Rattus norvegicus: one gene and its partners. The protein of the gene in region 2 interacts with the protein of the main gene of each other region in a pairwise test. Links are inferred from orthologs where the notes say so. Each region holds a gene or a part of one and is shown on either strand. Other genes may lie near its edges. The genes, in order: Gorab, Rchy1 and Klhl41.

Region 1 (8,211 bases), on a different chromosome or scaffold from region 2:
CATGGACTTTCTCAGAAAATACAAAGCACCTTCCTCTACAATAAAGATTACTGTTGCTTACTGCTCTTATTTACAACATCAAAAATGTCACTGAGGCTGATTGGGTTCCAACTGAAAACATTAACTGAGTAATTAGTAGTTCCTTTGTAACTCAACGGTGTCTTTATATTTTACTTTATATTCTTTACAGAGCATAGATGGAAGGCTTACAATGACATATTTTTCACTAGCAATCAATAAACAAGTCAGGGCATGTGAAAACAGAATACACTGTTTAAGTACTATGTTCTGGAAACTTAGGGCCAATTGAGGATCGTAAATCTAGCACAAGGAGGACTAGCCACAGTAACTTCTAGTCAGCTGCTGTCATTAAAGCAATTTAGGTCAAAACAACCAGACACTGATTTTCACAATTAAAAACAGGCACTTAAAAATTATTTCTATTTTTATTTATTTACTTACTTACTCTATTTATTTTGTGGTGTTGGACTGAACCCAGACCTTGCACATGCCAGGCAAGTGCTCAACCACTTAACTCTGGCTCCAGCAGCAGGTTTATAAGAATGGCTGTGGTTTTAAACATAGGGACCGTAACAACCATCAAAACCTAGATTACACTATAGTGGAAAGTGACTCTTAATCTGCACTGGCATGTTCCAACTAAAAGCCAGGCTGACGATACAGAGGGGAAGAAACATCATGGCACCCTAGGTCCAATTTTCTGAACCAGAAAGCAAAAGACATCAGAGGCCAACAAGCGTGTTATTTTGTAAACATGACTGATGATTATCGTTACTAGTAACACTTTAAAACTGGATCATCAAAAGCAAGGAGGGAAAAACCCTGAAAAGTTAAATACCTTAAAAAGAGATTTTATGAATATTAGTGTTTTGCTTGCATCTATATACAGCATGCACATGCCGTGACCTCAGAGGGCAGAACGGAACATTAGATCCCAAGGAACTGCAGTTTACTTAAGGGCGTGAGCTGCCAAGTAGGTGCTGGGACCTGAACCCACGCCCTCTGGAAGATCAGTGAGACTCGTAACTGCTACGATCAGTTCCTGGGGAATGTTTCTCGTGTGTGTGTGTGTGTGTGTGTGTGTGTGTGTGTGTGTGTGTGTGTCTACATGTCAGTGATCTGTGTGTCTGATAATTATATCCTTCTCTCTGACCCCAGTCATGTTGATCATTTTCTTATGAGTCTACAAATAATTTTAAAAAGTATTAATTTCACCCAAAGTGTACTGCAAGAGCAAGTATTTCTTCCCCAGTGTCACACTTATTGACACTGTCACAGTCACTCATTTCCAGGGCTGAGACACATCCTCAGAGTGACAAGCCCAAGTTCCCCATCTTCTTCCCTGAGAGACACTGAAGCTGGTTTTAGATTTTACCTCTGTGAACCTGGCTGTTAAATTTTGCCTTGGATATTACCCCCAAAGTACTGGGTGACAACATGTAACACTAGATGTTAAACTGCTTTCCAAACACATTTTGTCCAGCAATGTGTAAGAATCCATTTTAATGCATGGTATTGTTTTGTTTAATGTTTTAACTTTGGCAAACAAGAGGGCATAAGGTGGTACCTCACTGTGCTTCTGATTTCTAATGCTCTGCTTCTTGTTGATGGTTGGCATACATTCATATTCCTTTTCTTTGAAACATCTACTATTTCTTTTATATTCACACATACTATAAGAGAAATGATAATTAAAGATACCATGATAATTAATTTCAATGCCAGAAATGGTCATAACTCTACGGAAGAAAAAATCTAACAACAGAAAACATTCAAAATTTATATGGGAAAAAATTCTAAAATTTGTTACACGGCAAATAAATGGACACACATGCACCCTTCCATGATGATACTAAATATCTCCAAACTGATCTAAAGATTCAATGCAATTCTAATCAAATTCCTATCCCCTAAAATTTGGTAAAAATTTTTTTAAAAATTATTATATAAACTGTTAAGAATAGCAAGGAAATTACTAAATAAAACAAAGAGATGAACGGGACTCGTACTATCAAGAATAAAGGCAGTGGGTAAGACGGTTGAGCAGGTACATGCACTTGTCACCAAGCCTGAAGACCTGAGTGCTGACTCCTAGGACTCACAGGGTAGAACGAGGGAAGTGACTCCTAAAAGACAGCCTCTGACTGCCACACCCATGCTATGGCCAAAGGGCTCACACCATAAAATAAATGAGTAGAAAGGAATAATAAAGGGCACATAGAAATAAATATTTATCTTAAAACTGACAGCATACTTGTATTGCATTCTTCCATTTCTTTACATATGAAATCAGCCACAGATCATGTGTGTATACATACATCATACTTATTGGGGTATATGTATGCCATACACTCTTCTAATCTGTGTGAGTGAAAATAATTCAGTTTAAGATGTCGATGACTATAGTTGACATACCCCGTCTCCCTGTGACAACATTTCATTATATAACAAATGTTTCCGTTCCATAAAATGATTTGACTTACTTTTTATCAAAGTTATTTGCCAGAGAAAGCATTTAATTACCAATGTTCTAGTTCCAATCTTCTCTTCTTCCTGCCAAAAATAACTGCCGTGTGACAGCATCAAAAGATGATATGGGATGACTGTGTATCAGTTTCACCTGGCAACCCATGTTACATGACACTAGACTGAAAAATAAACCTTCATTATTTTAAACAACTGGCTATGTTTCCAAGGTTTTCTTTACTGCTTTTATTAAAACTGTTAGCCTAATTTCTTAATTACCAGTGCTGCTGTATGTATTTCTCCCTCCCCATCACACACCCTCGCCTCTCTATCAATCACAATTTTATTTCACTTCTTTGATAGTCTTCAGATAGTCTTAAAGGACGCCTATTTTACCTAATTTTGTTCCTATATAAACTATACTATGCCATTATCTACTCAGCCGCAAACCTGTTCCTTTTAAAAATAAAACTCATTATTAATGAATGTAGCTAATGATTAATACAGTCCCATCAACTGTATTATGTATCCTCTCGCTTGCTAGTAAACAACTGGTTTATTTCTAACTTCTGAATATTATAAACAAAGTGGCTAAGAACATTCTTGACTGCATATGCATTCAAGTGTTTCAAAAGCACCCTGTACTTATTTTTGCTGGCAATGGATCCCATCTTCCTAGATTATTTAACTGTATTCTTAACAGCTGCAAGGAGGACGTGATTTCTGCAGCTTTAGGAATGGGAAGCCCAAGGTAGAAGACTTGGTATTTTTGTGCTGATCACAGTGTTCCGCTAAGGCTACATAAAGGTGGGAAGATACTTCTGTTCTCAGATGTCATATGGGTGATTTTAAACGCAGTCTAGTGTTTCATGACCAAGGGACAGGCCTTGAAGTTTAGGTTCTTATCAACTTCTAACCATATCCAAATTAAAGAAATAGTTAAAATATACTTTTTTTAAGATAACAAACATATGGGAGCCCTACATTAAACCCTGGCAAGTTAAAGACAACATTTAACCTCCATGAAATATTCCCAGAGTTCATTAAATCCTCAGCATGAACTTGCTCTGTGGCTAACACTTGGTCAATATCTACCCCCACAGTATTTCACGGTCTGTCTCATTAATCTACAAGGTCTCTAAAGGCAAAGATGTCCTGCTCATCTTAACACCTCTGATGCAGAAGTTATATTTCATGACAGGTGAGCATCCCTGTTGGCAAGGACGGAAGAAGCCCCTGGACCACACACCTAATTCAAAAGCAGATGCTGAGAACGGAGTCAGATCAGATCTAGATGCCTGTACTTTAGACACAGGTATGTGAATGAAGAATGATTCACAGAACAAAAGAACCTGAAACCACCCAGCTGGACAGAATCAGTTGGGACACATCTGATATGATAATTTCATGAGAGTTTTAAAAGATCCCTAGACCAACCCTATTTCCCCCAAATGTATATAAGGCACAGTGACCTCATGTTAGCGACTTACCTCCTTTTGCACCTGTCAGCCCTAAATAATTCTCATATCTAGGCTAAAAATTACAGTGTACCTGAGCCCTATCCAAATTTCTCACAAACTACAGACATGGAAGAATTTATTTAATTTCATCCTTAAATAAAATATACTTTTTATAACGTTAATAGTGGCAGAAAATTCTCACAGAAGTGATGGGCACTACCAAGATTAGCACAGACATCTTTGTGAAGTTTCAATCACAGGTCAAGAGCGTTTTTACATCGTTTCCTACCAAGTACCAGAAAATTTAATGAATCAGAAGTAGCGTTGTAGCAAGGCCATATATTGATCTATAATTATTCCATAAAGCCCTGGGGAGAGCACTAGATTTTGGCTGTCTCTCAAGGCAGTAAAGACAAACATGTGAGTGCACTGTGCTCGTGCACACAAACACATACACGCACTTCAAATCTTAACCTCTCAAAAACCCTTTTGGTTTGCGATTCCCCAAAACTGGAAAGATGTGCAAATTCATCCGGTAGCCAGAAGTAAACGTAATACAGATGTATCATAAATTACCACCTCTTTCACGCTTATTCACTCTCATGATCCCTTTCGCAATAACTTTTTATAAGTTCGCAATTATGATGCTGTATATATATGCAGTGCTACTCTTCAGTCACCCTGACGCCAAGTCTGCAACCATTGATTTGTGCTACAGTCCTCCCTGACGAGCCATTCTGGTGTTGGCTTCGCTTTCTCTCCCTAGCCTCAATTCTTTAAACAGGGGTATATTAAATCATCAGAAAGCGGATGTTAAAAGAGAAACCCTCGGGGCCTCTGCAGCTAAAACAGCCACCTGGGAGCCCCACGATTCCTGTCCTTCCACTTGCAGCTCCAGCCCCCACGCCCCCTCACCCACTAGGAAGGCCTCCTGTCCTTCAGACTCGAGACTCCACACCCACACGGATATACACCTTACCTTTATTCTGCTTTAGTCTCCTCAGCTCTTCTTCAGAGAAGCCAGCCCAACCCTGAGCCATCCGCCTAGCCCTAGGCACCCAAAGAGTGCCCAAATCCCGGCGCGCAGATTGCCAACACAACTCCACAGGCACATCCGGGTTCCTTCAGTGGATGCGGCGAACAGCCAATCAGAGCGCTGAACTGTGGCGCTAGGACCCTCTCGTCATTCGGGGGCCTGCGCCCCTGGAGCTGTCCGAGCGATGCCTGAAGAACCATCTCGACGGACCGCACCACCACCGCCTTCGTCTCCACTCCTGGGCCTCTGCTACACGTTCCAGTTCTTCCTTTTCCATAAATTTTGGCAAGATGGGGACTATGGGAATGAGAAGAAGGGCTGATGCAAACTGACAGGGAGGCTTTGGCAGAGGAGGCCTAAAGAGGGCGGGTCCTGTCTGACCAGCTGGGCGGAGTCAGTGTTGCCTGGGAGGTGGGCTGTACCGGAGCATCCTTGGCTTGTAGATTCTAAGTCATGGAGAAACATGGAGTAGGGGTGAGGTATAATCAATGGCCAGTTCTCTGCCAGACAGTAGTTATCTAGCAGATTTCATTTTCTTATTTCTTTGATGAATGAGACTCAGTACCTAACCCTTATACCAAGAGATTTTGCTGGTCTCCAATTCACAAATCCTCCTGCCAAGTGCTGGGACTATAGAAAGAAGTGCCGCATCACCACACCACACTCAAGTCCTAAGTGATGACTATTTTTGGTCTAAAGCTGTCTTCTTGAGCTTCCATTTCAACGTTTTAAGTAGAGTTTAGAAAAATTAAAAGCTGCAAAACTTGTCAATGTATGCCTAAGTCAGCGTTTTTTTTAAACCGACTAATCGTTTCTATTTTCATTATTTTTACTAAAACCCAAAAACATTACATTGGCTACATTGAAAATTTAAAAGTGTATTAATTTCCAGCCTAGGAGTCAATGTTTTTAATCAAGTTGAAATAAAACAGCATACCGTAAAATATGACACCAATGATTGGAATGAGCAGTTCAGTTTAGATAAGTATCAGAAAAAGGTTCGACATCTTTCTTATAATCTTTAAACTTTGAAATTCAATGGGTTTTTCCCAAATTCAAGGATGCCACACATGCTTATCTTAAAGATGAGTTTATTCTCACTATATTTAAAAGGTAAAAATAACCATCTAAAAGGATTAGTTTTGTTCAAGTTTTGAACATAGACTAAATATGTAAACAGGTATACGCTGACTACAGGATAAAGTGTAGCAATCTGTCACAATCTGGTAGCCGATTCAGCTTACCCTCTGCACACAATAACCGTTTACTAGTGACCCAACAGCAATCTTAAACCAATGTGTGTGCTCTCTGTTACATTTTATTCATTCATTTTCTATGAGTTTCAAGAATTATCACTAATCTTAATAGAGTCAATAATGATGGCATTTTAAAAGGTTCTGCCTTGCTTATGAATGCAAATCAAGGCACCAGCAAGAGATAATAAAAGCCAATAAAATCCATCTGTATAAAGTTATACTTTCCCATTTGTAACATTCCAAATCTCCTTTTCCTTGTTCTGTTGGCCCTTCCTCAAGGAGCCCACTTTTACAATGCTGTAGGATATACTGGTGGAAACTCAGTTCCAAAAGTCCTTGTTCTGTAGGAGAATTTTGTTCTGAGTTGAGGGAATATCTCTAGAAGAGTTTTGCTGGAAATCTCAGTCATGTTAAGCCAACTATATTTAAAGGGAAAAATTTCCCCATTTGTGTAAAAATCTGGATCCTATACCATATACACCAGGCGTGTTATTGTTTCCCTTACACACAGAAGGCTTCCTTATTTGCCAGAGCAGTAGGCTGTGTTTTTCTAATCTCTATATGTTCAGGCTCTTAACTAGTTTGTTTTCAGTTATCTGTAAGAAACTCAGTCTTGAGTAGCTATATTTTGTAGTATTTTCTTTTTATATTCTTTTAAGTTCCATAATGTACATTTTTGTATTTAAATATATATATATTTGTATATATATATATATATATTTCAGCATGTTTGTGTGTTTATAAAAAGGTATCATATGTGACAATTTGGACTGTAATATTTTTCCCCGGTTGATTCTTCACTAGATGATTGGTGTTTTTTTAAAACCAAAAATCTAGAGCCAGATGTGGTGCTCCATTCCTATAATTCCAGCACTCAAGAGGCTGTGGCATGAGTTTGAATCCAGTCTGGGTTACACCGTGAATTAGAGACCACCCTGGCTGTGATGTGAGACCCAGTGTAAAACAATAAAAATAACTGATATTTTTTTAAAAATAGAATTGTGTGTCTAGTGCATTTATAAAACTGAGCTGCCCGGCCGGCTCAGGCGATTGAGGTACGAGCTGTGGAAACTGGCATCGTGCATTCAATTCCTGGTAACCCACATGAGGGTGAATGAAAGAAGTTCGTACAGAGTGGTGCTCAGATTTCCATCCCCATGGCGTTGTATACACGCCCGCACACATCCTCCCACACAAGGTAACATTCATAACTTGGGAAATAATTTCCGACTTCACTTGGAATAAAATCCCAGATCCTCTATGATCCTACGTCATTGGCCTCCTCCTCCTCCTTCTAGAGTAAGCTGTCTTTCTTCACTGTCCTTAAACTCCAATCGGATGGATTTGCTCGGACCTTTAGAATGCCCAGGGCTTCTCCCTCCTCTCTGCCGGCCTAGCCAGAGCTTTCCCAGTCACCGTTCCTTAAGCTGTTCTCTTCACCTTGTCCATTGATCCTTCCTGCTTAAGTTATGGTCCTCAAGTCCACATAGGCTTTATACGACCACACTATCTAAATACCAGCCTCCTATTTCCTGCACTTTTATGACTTATACAGCACTGAGTGTAATATCTAGGCGGTTTGTATTTTACATTTTTATTTTCTATCCCCCAGTTTGATAAGAGTTCCACGATATAAACTTTAACCTCTTATTTACCCAGCATAAAACAGACTAGCAGCTGCTAAAAACCAATTATGTATTAAAAGAACAAACCTTTCTAAGTTTAATGTTCATTTATAACATTTTCACATTTAATGCACTTGAGATTTCTTTCTAGAATGAATTTCTATGGTGCTGAAAATATGAAATATTTTTTTATTCTTCTTGCAGCTTTGAACTTTTTAGTTAATAAACGCATTTTAACTAGTTGAGGAAAATCAGAAGGGCCTTTATTATTTTTTAAGGTCCGATGTTAGGCACCTTCTTCACTCCAGATAGATAGAATGGAAGAGTAAGGCTGCTTTTGCCTCTCA
Region 2 (8,211 bases):
AACAGAGCATCCCTAGGGCTCGTCTGTAAACAAAACATTTCCTTAACAATGACAAGAGGAATGAATCAGAGAGGCCACTCCCTACCAGCTGAGAAAAAGAGGACAGGAGAGGACCCGGATAAGTAATTTACAAGAAGTAATAGTGCTCCACAGTTACTGAAGAAAATGCATTCTCAGATGTATTAAGCCACGAGAGACAGAGCCATCAAAGGCAAAGTGGGTGACTCCCAGCATTATCGCTGATAAACAGCAGAAGCCAACTAGGTCTGCTACTCAACCTTTCTGTTTTCTCTTTCTAACCTCATCTCTCTTTCATTCTTTTCCTGTTCTCATCCGTTTCTCTCTCTCCTTTGGTGTGGCTTTACTTGGAACCATATTTCGGTTCTATTTGCAGTTTGCTCTTGAGTTTGTTTTGTTTTGAGACAGGGTTTCTCTGTGTAACTGGCTACGCTGGAGCTCAATCTGTAGACCAGGCTGGCCCTGAACTCAGGGATCTGCCTGTCTATGCCTTTGGAGTGCTGGGATTAAAGTCTTGCACACCACAGAGCTCTTGCGTTCTTAATGACTTCCAATCTGAGACTACCTTAATCTTCTCTGTTTTTAAGACACTAGTTCTGAATTAAAACATTTTTCTACATCAGTCTACTTATCTAGACCCTGGTAACGTATATTTATGAGAAGCTATTGGCCTATGAATCGTGAAAGCTGAAGCTGCAGTCTATGAAAACTCACAGAATACACTTCAAATGAAGAAAGCAGCACACTCATCCAACACAGGTACTGAAAGGGCTTCAGAATTGTCACCGAGTGAGTGCCCACAGCTCATAACAAACCTGTAAGTGACAGGGAGACTCAAAGACAGAAGGGATGGCTCCTGGTTTCAGCTTAGTGTTTGGAGTGCTTCTGTCAAAGTCTGTCTTCTTGAAGTGCCTCGAGCACAGCACATCTCCTTTTTTGGGCTCCCAAATGCCTGCAGTATTCACATCTAGTCTTTTCATGGCTAACACCCATTTTCTTTTGATGTTTTCATCTGTGGGGAATCTAAAAAACAGTAAAAATATATTTTAAATCCAAATACTATTGATATCTTCAAACTGAATATTTCAGAAATCATGATTCCTGGTTATATAACAAATTTAAAAAGTTACATGTCTATGTATCTGTGCGCGCGTGTGTATGTGCATTTGTGTATATGTGCGTGTAGACATGCACATAAGCATTCCGCAGCATAGGTAGTATAGATTAAGGGCAGTTTGTGGGAATTCACTCTCCTTCCATCATGTGATTCCTAGTTACTGAACTTAGGTCATTAGTCTTTGTGACAACTGCCTTTACCAGCTAAGACATTCTGTTGGCCTTATAGCTCAGTTTCAATATCCAGACTTTTCTGCCAACCATTCTTTATACACATGGCCTTTAAATTTTTATCATATCTTATGAATGTTTCAATGGCCATTTAGCATATTTTATCAAGATTTGCAATAAAAGGTTTTTCTTTATCTACAGAAGACCTCTGGCCTTTCCCTTTCTGAGGTGATATCCAGAATTTGTCCTCAATGACTAGGAGGGCCTCTTGTGCTTTTGCTTCTCTGTCAAACCTGAAAATTACTTGTACAGCAACTCATGTATAGCAGGTCTATAAATGCTTTGTGAACGCATGCAGAGAACAGCTCCAGAGTCTAGAGTTCTGGAGCTACTATTCTGACAGATGGGAGGCAGTAATCAGATTTCTCAAACTTTCCAAGCTGGTTCAATATTGTTTTGGGATACAGTAGCACATACACACCTTTTATTTCCATGCCTAGTTAAAGTAACTAGATCTTTCCCTTTTCAGCTTCACAAAAATCCTAAGTATATTTATTAAACCCTATTAGATCCTTCCTATGGATATCACAGGAATGGTCTAACGCTAAATTAGAATTCTCAAACTCTATCCGCAATGCAGTTAAATAATCCTTGGTCTGAATTTGTAGTATATAGTGAACAGCTTTGCCTCATCTATTTCTAAATAGAAGGTATGGATATTTAAACAAAGAACCATCATTTAGATTGTAAATACATATAAACAATAGTGAACTTAATAGAGTTAGAATACAAACATTAGCAAAGGTGACTCTGACAATTTGTGCGTGGTGGTATTTGATTTTTGGTGGTGGTGTTATCTCGTCTTTCATTCCTTGGCACTTAAAACTTGCACATTACAAAGGAACCACTGTCAATTTTAACGAGGTTATTTTAAAGGAACTTGGGAACAAAAACTTGTAACTGCAGACTCGGGTAGAGTAATTTTTAGTAAAAGTTAAAAGTATTCTGCTGAGTACAGCAAGTCTTACACATGAAATGTCAGTCCTTTTAACTTGGAATTTGGCAAACAGCGAGAAGCACATCCAATGGCCGAGCAACATTTCACCATGATTTTAGCAACATAACAAAACTGTAAGAGAATTAAAATGCGTTAGTAACTTTAGGGCTAAGCCAAAGGCATCTCCTCCTAGACAATCGCCTCCCCTCGCCCCCATCCCAACGTCTGGTTTTGCTGATAAAATGTTCTTGGTATTTTTATAAAAGTCTTGGTATTTTGTAAGAGCTGACATCTAGTTATGCACCTTGAGGTCTGAGATTCCAACTTTGTGGGCTTATTTTTCTCATGTTCTTACGGGGTCAGATTTTCTCTCCCACAGGTCTGTGCCCACTAACGCCTGCTGATGTACTGTTTGCCACTAAACTTTCAGCCTGAGCGTCCCCTTCCCCGGGGACACCGCACACGATTGTCCTTCCAGTGTCGCTCCAAGTTGTGATCTCATTTAATGCAGTGGTGTTCTCCCCCTACCCATCTGTGTGCCTGCTTTTTTTCACTTTTCATTCCCATATCTTGGATGGTGACAGGTACCTCTTTTAAAGGAGGCGGAGGGAAAGTAGAACCGACCAACCGCGGGCTCTAGGAGCTGCGCGCGCCGCCGCCGAGCTCCGCCCCTTTTGGAGGCGGCCGCGGGCCGAGCAGAGGGAGGGCCGCTCCTCACAGGCGCTGGCGGCCCAGGGCGGCCTACAGCAGCGCCCGCCCGGCGTCGCAGTGGTCCCCTTCGCCCCGCAATCTGGGCTGGCAGCAATGGGGGGGGGGAAGAAGAGCCAACCTAAGAGTTATTACCGTTAGCAGCGACGACAGCGACTAACGTCGACGACGGAATAAGCGTCTCACTTGGCTTTCGCCCCTTCCTCCAGGAACCGGACATCCGGCTGCTCCAGATCACGTGATCATCCGCCATATTGACTGTAGTGGCCTCTGCTCCGAGGAGGAGGGGTATCAGACCGGCTCTGCTTCTTTAAGGCGTGGCTTCCAAGCTGGGGGAAGGTTCTGTGGATTGTGTGGAGGGAGGTGGAGGAGGAGGAGGAGGAGGAGGAGATGGCGGCGACGGCGCAGGAAGATGGCGTCCGCAGCCCGGCTCCAGGGCCGCGGGGTTGCGAGCACTATGACAGAGCCTGTCTCCTCAAGGTGATGACTTTAAAGGGCACTTACTGATGAGCTGCGGCCCGGGCAGGTTGGGCTAGGAACTTAGTCGTGGGCATAAATTTTAGACTGCTCTGCTTGTCAGGACACCTTCCATCTGGAATTGGGTTCCCCTTGCAGGAAACGTTTTTTGGCAAGGCGTGCATGAGTTCTGTACTCGATCTCAGCTTTTGTACTTTGCAAGCAAAGTTCTTGTTTGTAAAGATCTGGCCCTTGCGTAAAGTCACTTCCCTGGTGGGTTTACTCCTCACTTGCGGTTGACAGTAGAATGAGGACGTGAAAGGCCTGTCCTAAGCAGTTCTGTCAAGTGTGTATGATGCAGCAAGGGGAAAATCAGAATATAATTTCAGGATGTATAGTAAGTTTATAGTATAGCTTGTCAGCTTCATTTTGCTGTCTAGGAATATGCCTAGACCTGTCCAGAAAAAAATATATGTGTGAAATGAGAGTTGTGTAATTGCCATTAAGTTGGGTATCGGAGAAGTGCCTAGTGCATATATGCTATCATCTTTCTTGGCTTGAGACGTTCTAGTCATCTAGAGTTTTTAAAAATGACCCTCACACAGTTAAGACTTATCTGATTTTTTTTTTTTTTAAAAGAAATAGTGTTAATATTTTGTGTTGAGAAAGTCTGAGATTTGAGCTGAGGTTATAACTCAGCCTTAGACTCGAGTTTAAAATGCCGAAGGCTTGGCTTCAGTCTCTAGAAGTTTCCTCCCATTGAGAAGAAACTTTGACTGTTGGAATCTTACAGCTTTCCCCTCATACTTTAGATATGTCCTTAACTTGCTCTGTAATTTTGAGCAAGTTACATTTTAAAGGGCTTGTTTATAAAACACACAATTTTAGAAGGAAGTCTTAGTGGTAAAGGCCTGTACTTCCAGAAGACGCACACGTCCAGCTATTTTTGAAGCTGAGGCAGAAGGAATACCAGCCTGGAGGTGCTATTGCCAATGAGAAAAAAATGGAGCTGGGGCTGGGGGTGTATATGGGTCATTGCTAGAGTACTGGGCTCACCGGAATGAGCCGCCAGATCCAGTCTTCTGTGCCAAAGGTGAACGTCTTTCTTTATAAACAGTGCGATGATTGCAGACTAGAGTGTTGAGGAGGTGTGACCCCAGAAATGACCAGTAGGAAATTAACTGTTACTCACAGTGGTCATCAACATTTTCTTTTTTAACCCTAACAGTCAGCCCTGCTGGTCACTGAGCTTAAAAGTTAGGATTAAGTGATAGGCTTAGATCTGTAAGACAGCTTAAACCTTTTTCTGCAGGCCACGGCTTGGTGAGATTCATTGCATTGGATGAAGTTTTTTCAAACTGGTCAGTTGTCTAATGTATAAGGAGTTAAATATTATTCTTTTGGTTACATTCCTACTGAAATATTTTTAAGGTTTCAAAGGTTTAAAACTGAATTTAACATCTGCTTTTCCCCTCCTACCCCTGCAAAGAAATTGCACAACCAAATTTGTGTTTCACAGCACTTAAAATATTTTTCTCTGAGTGTCAAGCATTGTTTTTCTTTCCCCTCTCCCTTTTGCTTAAATAGGAGAGGCCAGCTGAGGTGTTTTAAGGAGCAAGTCATGTACTAGATCAAGTTTAGCTGTTCACGTAAGAGAAGGAGTGACAATTGGCTTTTGATTTGGCAAGGGGAGGTCACTGTTGATCTTAACATGTGTCAGTGAAAGACCCAGGATAAAGCTTCCTTGGAGGGGATACTGGAAATAGCATAGAGCAGTTTTGGACTTTTATTGCCAAGGAGAGCAAAAATGTGGCTGTTTTGCTGACAGCTGTGTCACAGTGTTTCTGCACACTGGTCATTTTGTAATGCAGCAGGAAAGAGAACCAGTGAGTAGTCACAGTGGGAAGACCCAGCGTACAAGTGAGGCTGATCTTGGCTGGCAAGGCAGAGCGTAGGAGTTTGCTTCTCTATTGCTGCAATAAACACCAGAACCAAAAATTACATGGGGAGCAAAGGGTTTATTGTTTGCCCTTCCTGTGACAGTTTATTAGGGAAAACCAAGGCAGGATATCCTGAAGGGCAGGTACCTGGAGGTAGGAACTGAAGCTGAGGCCATGCTGGAATGCTGCTTACTACTGACTTGCACTCCATAGCTTGCTAAGTCTTTTATCTCCTTCCTTCCGTCTGCCCTTCCTTCTTTCCTTTCTTGCACTAAAATCATTTATTAAATCTTAGCTCATACTCATAAACATTTTTAATAACTTATCTGACAAATAGAAATCTTTCAGCAAGCACTTTGGTTTTCTCGAGGAAAAGTTCTTAGTTAGTTGGCTTGTGAAGTAAGTTAATTGCTTTGTTCATGGAACATTTTTTGACTTGAAAAAGATTGGTCATTCAAGCTTAAGTATATGGCGACATTTTCTCAGAATGAGGGAAGGAGTCAGACTTGTGACAGAGAAATAATTAACAGAGCTTTGAACCATTAGTAACCTTGAAATGAGACCTTGTAGCTGTAGTGCACTGTCAAAAGCTCTTTGCTATCCTTAAGAGCTTTAGAGTATAACAAGGCCCTGAGTTTTAACTGCTGTGGTCTAAGTCTATGACTGTGTCAGAGGAGGGTTGGGATACAAAGCCATTTAAAGTGAGAACATTTAGGTATTGAAGGGATCCTTGTGGATGTTTTCATATTTTGGTTAGAGTATGTTGGGGGAACAAGAAGCCAATAACGTTTCAGCATAAAGGATGAACTATGCTATGGTTCATTTATAGCACAGGAACCCCACTGGCCTAGGGATTTTTTTTTAATTTAATGTCTTAGTTGGGGTTTCTATTGCTGAGACTAAACACCATGACCAAAAGCAAGCGTATTTGATGTATTCTTCCATATACGTCCATCATTGGTGGAAGCTAGGACAGAAACTCAAGCAGGGCTGGAACCTGAAGGCCAGAGCTAAAGCAGAGGCCGTGGAGGGCTGCTGCACACTGGCTTCTTTCCCTTGGCTTCCTCAGCTTGCTTTCTCATAGAATCCAGGACCACCAGCCCAGGGACGGCACCCACAATGCCCATGTGGCCCTCCCCCATCGATCACTTACAGAACACCTTACAGCTGGATCTCATGGAGGCATTTCCTCAACTGAGGCACCTTCCTCTCTAATGACTGTAGCTGTGTCAACTTGATACACAAAACCAGCCGGTCCAGCTTTTTTTTATTTCTCTGAGAATGTCTTAAGTTTGGTTACCCCCCCCCCCAAATTTATATTTATTGCATCCTATGCAATATTAGTTATATGCATCATGATTAGTAAATATTAGTGAAGTTAAAACATTTTGTGTTTAGATGTTGTCTTTTTTTTTTTTTTTCCGGAGCTGGAGATCGAACCCAGGGCCTTGCGCTTGTTAGGCAAGCGCTCTACCACTGAGCTAAATCCCCAACCCCTAGATGTTGTCTTTTTTCCTTTTAAAGATTTATTTATTTTATATCTGTGAGTACATTGTTGCTGCCTTCAGACGCACGAGAAGAGGGCATCAGATCGCATTACAGATGGTTGTGAGTCATCATGTGGTTGCTGGGAATTGAACTCAGGACCTCTGGAAGAGTAGCCAGTGCTCTTAACCACTGAGCCATCTCTCCAGCCTTAGATATTGTCTTAATCAGGGTTTATATTCATGCACAAAACATCATGATCGAGAAGCAAGTTACGGAAGAGAGGGTTTATTCAGCTTATACTTAATTCCACATTGCTGTTCATCACCAAAGTCAGTCAGGACAGGAACTCACCCAGGGCAGGAACCTGGAGGCAGGAGCTGATGCAGAGACCATAGAGGAATGCTGCTTATTGGCTTGCTCAAATTGCTTTCTTATAGAACCCAAGACTACCAGCCCAGGGATGGCACCACCCACAAGGGGCCCTCCCACCCTTGATCACTTATTGGGAAAATGCCTTACAGCTGGATCTCATGGAGGCATTTCCTCAAGGGAGGCTCCTTTCTCTGTGATAACTGCAGCTTGTATCATGTTGACACACAAAACCAGACAGTAAAGATGTTAAGGCATATAAATGATTTTTCCCCCTGGAAAATTTTAGATGCTGAGATTAGGTAATGAAATTAGCACTTTGCAGGTGCTAGGCAAATAACTTCCACTAAGCTACATCCCAAGCCTGGGCATTTCTTGATATAGCAGTGTAAAAAAATTAAATACTCATGAAGTGACCTAGCAGTAATGATGTTTAAATAATAAAGAATACATTTCTGTATATTTCTTTCCTTATAACAATTCCAGACGGGTATAGAGCCTCTGTTCCATGTGGTTATTTTAGAGTCAAGTTTTTTTTTTCCTGTTGTATTATTTTGATGTATTTTAAGGCATATGATCATGTGTGGGATCCAACTGTAGATTAACTGGGTAATGTGCTCAGGAAGTAAGGAGCAGATTTCAGTGGACAACTGGCAGTTATCAACATTCTCCAAACCCGTGAGACGGGGTGTGTTGATGCCTGGCTTTAGTCCTAACACTTGGGAGGCAGGGACAATCTGATCTTGAGGCCAGGCTGTTCTACATAGTTCCAGGACAGCCAGGGCCATATAGAGAGATTCTATTTAAAAAACAAACAGTGGGTGTCTCTTGTTTTTTATATTTACTGCATCCTCTGCAATATTAGATGTATGCATCATGATTTGTGAAAATTTTGTCTTTAAATGTTAAGGTATATAAATGATTTTTTTTTCCTTTTTCTGACAATGT
Region 3 (8,111 bases), on a different chromosome or scaffold from region 2:
ATGAGGTCACAGATGTCTGTAACTCCAGCTCTCTCCAGCGCCCTCTTCTGGCCTCCGAATGCATCAGACAGGCGTTTGATATACAGGCATACATGCAGGCAAAACACCCATATACATAAAATAATACTTTTAAAAAATTCAAATAACAACAACAAAAAAGAAACCAGTCTGGATGACTTCTTTCTTTGGTCTCACAGCTAATCACAAGTTCTTGGTCAGTAAGCCGCATGTTCGAAAGTTCAGTTAGACTTGAAGTGTAAACTTACCTACCACCGAGACGTATCGTGCAGGGTGGGAAAATCCGGCTTATTCACTACAAAATTGCTTATCAACGATCTGATTTAATACTGGTTCAAAGAGTTAGACAGACGACAACTTACTTCCATATGTCATTGACTTCAGTGGGCGCGAACTCTTTAGATTCCAACTGAATCATCGCAAAGCCGCCGATGGCGTACAGGGATCCGGCCAGGCTCACCAGGCTGATGGAGCTTCTTTCTTGGGGAAATTCCGTCATCACTTCCCACCTAGGCATTTTATTGAAAATGCAGTCCACATAAAATGTACAGAAATACACCATTTTGGTGTAATTTTGTTATTTTTAAAGTGTGTGTGTGTGTATAAAGCTAGAAACACAGAGGGTTTATAGTTTTGTGTCCAGGTTTACACTTCTTTGTTTTAGACAGGGTTCCACTACATGGCTCTGGCTGGCCTGGAACTCAGAGTCAAAGGTGTGCCCCGCCCACTGAGTGCATCAGATTTAAGCTTCTTTTGCATTGGAGAATTTACCCTTACTGTCCAGTCTTTAAGAACATCATTTTTAATAATCATTTAAAACTAGTTTCATAAAAATGCCTTGTAATTTCCGGCTATCAACATTATTTTGTAATCATATACATTTGGTTTCTTTAAAAAAAGTAACACTATTCTAATTTTTCATTGCTAAGGCAATGAACATGCTATTGTATATATGCTATGTGTAAAATGTATAAAATACAATATATGTGTGATTGTATAAACATATGTACTCACCTAGGTGTATAAGCTCAAAAATTTAGGAAGATTAATTTTATATAAAATATTAGTCAAGTATCTTCACATAAATCCAATAAAAACAGAAGTTAAAAAAAAGTAAGAAACATGTAAAGCACTCATCGTGTATGAGTGCCAGCTGCCAACAAGTGGAAATCTTTTCATTATTTTTGTTTGATTTTGTTTATTGAGGCAGTATTTCTCTGTGTGGACCAGGCTGGCCTCGAACTCAGAGATCCACCTGCCTCTGCCTCTCAAGTGCTGGGAGTAAAGGTCTGCGCCACCACGCCTGGCCCTTTAATTTGTAAACTACCGGTTCCTCAGACATGCATATCCACCTAAGGTTGTACAGTGTTTCAGAGGTAATCATGCCTTTGCTACATGACTGGATGGATTCAGTTAGCGCAGAGGCAGGCAAGCGATGTGTCAGCACTAACTCATGAGCCGCATTTTCCTAATGAGGAGGCATGGGGAGTGGGAAATCCTTCCCCTTTAACCCAAGGTTCTCTGGCTTCCCCTCCCGAGGCTGAGAAAGTGTAGCTGCTACCCAGATGCAAAACTAACGTACAGGATTCTTATGCTGCAGCAGAGCAACTCACTTATTGGTTTTGAGGTCGAAGGCTTCAACTGAAGCTGAAAGGCCATCTTCAGTGACGCCTCCTGCGATCACGATTTTGCCTTTGTGGATTGCCACTCCAAACATGGAACGAGGGGTTTTCATTGGAGCCAGATCCTTCCAGTCTCCTTTCTTGGGGTTGTAGATAAACACCCTATTCGTACACTTTCTGTGAACATAAAAAGAAAATAAATGCTCCCTTTAGAACCTTCTTTTTGTGAAAGCTGCTTTAATAATTTAGTTCTGTTTGTGATGGAGTATATAGTACTTTATTTAAAGTAACCTGGCACTGTTTGAGGGATGCAGCTTAGTGGCAGAGTACTAACAGAGCATGTGTGAGCCTCTGGGTTCAAACCCAAAAAATTTTTTTCCCCAGTGAGTCCAGTCTTATCTATAGATCCTATATTAAAAACCCATTGTGACTGTAGATTACATAAGTAATCATGTAGACTGACTAATGATGAAAACACTTTTACATGCTAAATGCCACCAGAAACATGTAGATTCATTGAATTATTCTCAGGATAGACCTTGGGAGTCTCAAAGTTTTCCATAACCGATCAATAGTCCTAAATCCCAATAGTAACCAGTTTGGTAATGCCAATAAACAAAAACTCTTTTGTGAGAGTAGTTTTTTCTTAATATGAGAAAGACCATGCATAAACATTTCCTTTACAACTTGTCTATGGCAAGGAAGGTCTTGGTGAGGTCAGAACAGAAAATCATATTCAGTAGGGCACTTTATGTCCCCTTTGCCCTTCCCCACGTATTTGGGATTGGATGCAAGGCCTTCCATATTCTACAAAGTGCGACTGAGTCATCCCTCAGCCTCAGCGCTCTACTTTTCACAATGATTTATTTCAAAGTTCTTGGACATTTGCTAGGCAATGCTCTCTGGGTACTAAGAGTCTCAGGATTAATATATTACTTCTGGCAGACGTGAGTGCTTCTTATTGACGGATTGGTTTTCTGGTTACTAATGTTATCTGAAGGGAACAATGTAAACCATTTTGGCAGAGTTCCAATGTTTCAAAGTCATAATGCACTTAATAGGGATTCTCTGTTCCACATACTCAGAGGAAATGTCCAAATTAGGGGTGCATTTACCACATCTACCCTTAATTAGTGTTCATTTGATGGAGAAAGCAAAGATTACGGAAGGGATTTCATTTCTGGATATCCATCTTTTCATATGGAGAGAGATGATAAAAAACTCAGCGCTTGTTCAGTTATATTTTGTTTTATCATTCTAATTGAATAAAATTAATTCACTCCAGAATAGAGCTCTTTACTCGACACAGAAGGTTTTATTTGATTTTCTTTCTGCTGCACCTGTGATCTTTTTGGTTTTGTGGTTTGTTTTCGGATAGGGTGTTCCTGTGTCGTCTTGGTAGTCTGGAAATCCCAGGACCAGCTGATTCTCTGGCCTCAGCCTGGGACTGTGGGTCCATGCTACTGTGCCCAACTGACCCTTACAAGTCATAATTTCCTTTCCTTTCCATGGTTGGACAGCTCTATTCACAGTTAGCCTGCACAAATGATAAACCAAATAAGGCACCTTTCTCTAGGATGGGAGACTTCACACTGTAAATGAAAGGTGATCATTTGACTAGATGGGATGCTGGCTTAACTGAGCGCAGGAGCACTGTCTGAGATGTTAGATCTCTGTCCTAACTACAGATGGCTTAGACCGGTGGATCTCAGTTTTCCTAACGTTGTGACCCTTTAATACAGTTCCTCATGTTGTGGTGAACACCCAACCAAAAGTTATTTTTGTTACTAATTCATAACTGTAATTTTACTTCTGTTATGAATTGTGATGAAATGTCTGTTTTCCAACAGTCTTAGGCAATCCCTGTGAAAGAGTTGATTGTGGTGACCCACAGATTGAGAACTGATGGCCTAGAAGCCAAGATGGGGTCCTACATGAGATGTACCCTGGTTTTCTCTCAAGGGACTAGCTAGAAGTAGTGAAATGGAGACTTGAGAGTGAGTGAGCCACAAACATGTCGCTGGAGAAATGACTGCACTCCTCCAGTTACTGTGCTTTTAATCTCCAACCAATACAACTCCCCTCTTATACACGTCAAGTACAAATCATATCATTTTCTGCGTACTGTTTTGCTAATGGATATACTTTGAGTACAACAGAAATTTCTATCCCCTTCAGCCTGGTGACCTGAGTTCCATCCCTAGATCCCTCATGGTGGAAGGAGCTCCTTGGTGTTGTCTTCTGACATCTGAGTGTGCTTCCCCACGTGCACCCCATACACATTAGATAATAACAAAGTGAAGATTTAAATGTTAATCTGCTTATGGTTCATTGAGTCAGAAAGCCTACTGGTCTGTGTTGTAAAAGGCAGTTGGATAGAAGGCTGACCGTGCTCCTAGATGCTGCTCTTCCACGATCAGGATGCGTATCACTGAGGGACTGTGCTCGTGTGGAAGCGGCCTACATTCCTCCCTCTTTGGTCTAGTGACTTTAAAACCTTATAATTACAATTTCCTCCCAAAACTTTTCAGAATTTTATTTGCATTTTTTATCTGCAAAATATGGTGTTAGAGACCCAAGTCCCATTTCAGCATATAGTGTAAAAAATAAATAAATAAATAAAAAGGAAGAAACCTTAGCCATACTCAGATGTCAATCCAAAGGAAACCTTGGGGCACTTACTTGTCATCTGTCTTTCCGCCCAGACAGTATATCATCCCATTATGTGAGATCACATTATGGCCATAAACTTTAATAGGAAGATTTTTCACTTCGCTCCACTTTGCAGCCCTAGAATGAAATGATAATAGAATTCATGTTCCAGCTGGTGAAAACATGGATTTGTCGTAGGCTTATGGAGCGGGAACGTTGTGGGACTGTCACGTCAACTTACACAGGATCATAGCATAACACGGAATCCAGGGAGGCCTCTGTCTGAAGGTCTTTGCCGGCGACCACATAGATTTTGTCATCTACCTCTCCCAGACCAAAGAGGCACCTGGCTGACGGGAGAGGCGGTAGTCCAACCCACTCAGATGATACGTTATCAAGCTGGAAAAGAAATGAGTTATGGAAATACATAGAAAGATATTACCAGGCGTAACTAAGAAGTTCTCAGTGTTTCATGTTTAAAATCTCCAGAGATGAATGAAGGTCTCTACACAACTATAGTCCTAAAGTATTATATTTTAGCTTAGAATAATCTTAAAGTGTCATACTTAGAGTTTGGCTCAGAGCTACTAAAGAGAATGAGAAAATCTACTTGGCCTATAAAAATAAAATACTTGAACAAAAACAAAAACAAAAACAACCCCCCCCCCCAAAAAAAACGATATCAAGAGAGAAGAGAGACTAAAATGGAATTGTTAGAACTGGGCAGTTTCTTGTCAAATCCTTCCCTGGAGGTGCCTCAGTCAGTTTTGAAACAAAGAATCTTAATACTTTGGGGACACTGGGGAAGAGACAGGGTGTCTATGGCAGGGGTCACAGTATGCGAATGACCCCTGCGTGCTATATTTAACACATTCCCAGAGCCAGCACCCGGGACAGCTGGGCTTGTCGCTCAGTCCACAGACCACTGAGAGGGAGGGCAGTATCTCTTTTCCATCTTTTAAACATGTCTAGGTTACCTGTGTTCTATTGTTTTGGGCACAGAAGAATACTCATTTCAATACCTGTGTTTTGGGTGACGTCATCTTAAATATCGTCTTTCTGGTTTATGCTGAGAAGCAGTCTGGCTTGCAGCCAGCTCTACGGTGGACCTGTCAGTATCGCGCTCTGACTAGGGATTCATCCTGGCACCTAGTTTCTAAAATGGTAACGTACTCTTTTTCGCATTTTAGGGTAGCACTGCCGAGGAAACTGAGAGGCGTAGCTGCGCCGTTGCATGCCATTTCCAGGTGAGGAGGAATGCATTCACCTCAAAACCGATACAGCCTGGAACAGGAGAGACTGGTAGTGATGTGGAGGGGCTTCTCTGGAAGCCAATTCCATGTCTGGTCTAGTAGGGCCAGTTAAAGTTCTGAGACCAAAAGACACAGCATGACACACGGTTAATCCCCTTGTGCTCAGGGTTAGCTGCAGACACTTTGATTCAGCATCCAGATTGTGACTGTAATGTTTTCACTCTTGGAAAGGAATCTGCGGTCAAGAAAGTGTCACGGGGCTGAGAGATGTAGTCCAGTGGGGCTGAGATTACATGTCCAAACCCCTGGGTTTGATTCCTAGCACGTCTGTGGAGTCGGGGGAGTACTAGGTAATAACGTAGAACTAACAATAAACCTTTATGGAAGTCTGACAAGTTCTGTGCAAAATACTCAAACAAGTCCTCTCAGTTGGCTGACGGGTGGGTACACTTGCCCGACTTCACGGGGCTTTTTAGGTGGTTTTCAATACCATGCCATCTAATAAGTCTATAGGCGTTTTATTGCTTGAGATGCCATTATGCAGCTTTGGCACTTTTATTTTTAATGGATCAACAGCTATCTTAATCCCAAACCTGAGGGCCCAGGTCCCATCCAGACTGTGTGGTACCCACCTTCCTATCTTATCTTTGGACCATTTTCTATACCAGATGACAGTAGGTGGCCAGCCAGTGCCTTCAGTGGATGAGTTCTCAAGCTATTAAACCCTTCAAGATCCCACTGTTAAAATTAGGGTTTATATGTAGAACACTCAAAGTGTGGGCTTCCTGCGGTCTAAAACTTGAATCTATGAGTTCCACGGAGGAGGGGAAATCAGTCTTGATAAGGTCCCCGAATCCCCACAGTCATATGCCAAATGCCAGTTCACTCTGTAATCCACATCACACCTGCAGCCAAGCAGAACACTACAAAGGCTGCAATTCTCACAGGAAGCTCCCTTTTATTTCAATTCAGGCATCTTGATCTACACCTGTGCCTTTTAGAAGCGGCAGGGGAAATGCCCTTCCCCTGTGTAACTGTTTCCGTGGCTCCTGCTTCGTCAGGTAATCTAACTTGCAAATCCAGACACAGTAAAGTTAAAGGGAAACAACAGGATGGAGAAAGCAAAAGTTAAAACGAGGCCTTGAAAATAGAGTGTGGGCCGTGGGTATATTTTTAAAGTGTGTGTTTGTGTGTGTGTGTGTGTGTGTGTGTGTGTGTGTGTGTGTGCACGCACACACGCATGTGTGTGTTGAGAATAATTCGATGCTGTAACTGTTTCTTGGGTCTATGACTATATTATCTGTCTGACCTGTCTGTCTGTCTGTGCCTGTCTACCTATCCATTTGATTTGCTATTTTTCACTTCTCAGATATACTTAAAATCTCTTTCATTGGATTTGCCCTTTCTAAAGTAAATCTGAATTTGAAAATAGAGCTTGGGGGAAATCTCTGGGTCACATTCAAATACTTTTGCTAGTGTCTTTCACTGGAACTTAGAAAATTAAGAAACATGATTAGTATCTATTATTTTGACTATATTTCTCTAGCTACTTGGTGACAGGTAGTATTTTGTGAATGCATGGTATGTTGTGTATTTTGAAAGCATGTGGTGACTGTGGTATGACATTCTACACTTGTCTATCTCTGGCCTTTCCAACTTAAGTACCTGAAAATCCCAGGCCACGATTAGCTATGACCTAAACAAATTCTTACTGATTGAACCATGAGCCCCAAAGTATTGATTGGCAATACTGAAGGTGTGGGTTAAGTTAATCAGTGACATTTGGGAATGCTTTTTTTTTTATATGATCCAAAGTGTACAGAATATATACAAGGGTCCTTTCTTTTCCAATAAAACCTTTTATACAGTAACAAGAAATAAGAAATGAAATGTTCCTTCCCCAGATTAGGAGAAAATCAGACTAAGTCCCACTCCCTTGCAGTGTGTAAGGCATCGTGGTATAGACCAATAACTTTTTTTTTCTTTTTTCTTTTTTTCGGAGCTGGGAACTGAACCCAGGGCCTTGCGCTTGCTAGGCAAGCGCTCTACCACTGAGCTAAATCCCCAACCCTAGACCAATAACTTTAAGGAAAATATTCTAACCTATTTATCAGGTAATAGTGTTAAAGATTATAAGGTCAGTCTTTACCGAAACCCTGAGCTTTGAAGAACTGTAACTACCACCAGCTTCCTATATATACTATAAGGGAGAAAGGGTAAGAAGGAAATTGTGAGTCATGAGTTAGGTATAAAGACTTCCTTCGCCATGCCTTTTTATTAAATATGAAGTCTAGTTATGATACTCTGCTAAGCATCACAGTGTAAGAGAGCACACTGGGATATCCGTGTGAATGGTATGTAAGCACCCTGCCCCCAGACAATTCACAAATTGGCTAAGGGTGGTGAACCCCAGCCTGTGCGTTCTTACCTGGAAAAAGTAGGATTGCAGGGGTTGATCTTTATTCTCTTCGTCCACGTACAGTCCTCCGACCACGTAGACCTGGTTCTGTTGGGTAACAATACTGGAATGATTTCTGGGGATCTGCTCAGCTAGGGCAGTAAGATA

The links.
Region 1: the proteins of Rchy1 (region 2) and Gorab interact in a two-hybrid assay, tested with the Homo sapiens proteins (3 studies listed by BioGRID and IntAct). The link is inferred for Rattus norvegicus from reciprocal best matches to the Homo sapiens genes RCHY1 and GORAB.
Region 3: the proteins of Rchy1 (region 2) and Klhl41 interact in binary tests that used the Homo sapiens proteins (3 or more experiments, as listed by UniProt). The two-hybrid records come from large-scale screens. The link is inferred for Rattus norvegicus from reciprocal best matches to the Homo sapiens genes RCHY1 and KLHL41.

What each region holds. Positions count from the first base shown.
Region 1 is NC_086031.1:78,290,425-78,298,635, forward strand, and holds the start of Gorab (RAB6-interacting golgin), read right to left. Parts: upstream 5,065-8,211; 5' UTR 4,988-5,064; coding exon 4,927-4,987; intron 2,670-4,926; exon of another isoform or gene 1,589-2,669; intron 1-1,588.
Region 2 is NC_086032.1:16,394,525-16,402,735, forward strand, and holds the start of Rchy1 (RING finger and CHY zinc finger domain-containing protein 1), read left to right. Parts: upstream 1-3,008; 5' UTR 3,009-3,400; coding exon 3,401-3,490; intron 3,491-8,211. Other genes in the region: Thap6 (THAP domain-containing protein 6), read right to left, coding at 834-1,041, 2,334-2,413. UniProt on the Homo sapiens protein: E3 ubiquitin-protein ligase that mediates ubiquitination of target proteins, including p53/TP53, TP73, HDAC1 and CDKN1B. Mediates ubiquitination and degradation of p53/TP53; preferentially acts on tetrameric p53/TP53.
Region 3 is NC_086021.1:74,843,090-74,851,200, reverse strand, and holds part of Klhl41 (kelch-like protein 41), read right to left. Parts: coding exon 7,974-8,111; intron 4,692-7,973; coding exon 4,534-4,691; intron 4,431-4,533; coding exon 4,323-4,430; intron 1,818-4,322; coding exon 1,632-1,817; intron 528-1,631; coding exon 381-527; intron 1-380. UniProt on the Homo sapiens protein: Involved in skeletal muscle development and differentiation. Regulates proliferation and differentiation of myoblasts and plays a role in myofibril assembly by promoting lateral fusion of adjacent thin fibrils into mature, wide myofibrils.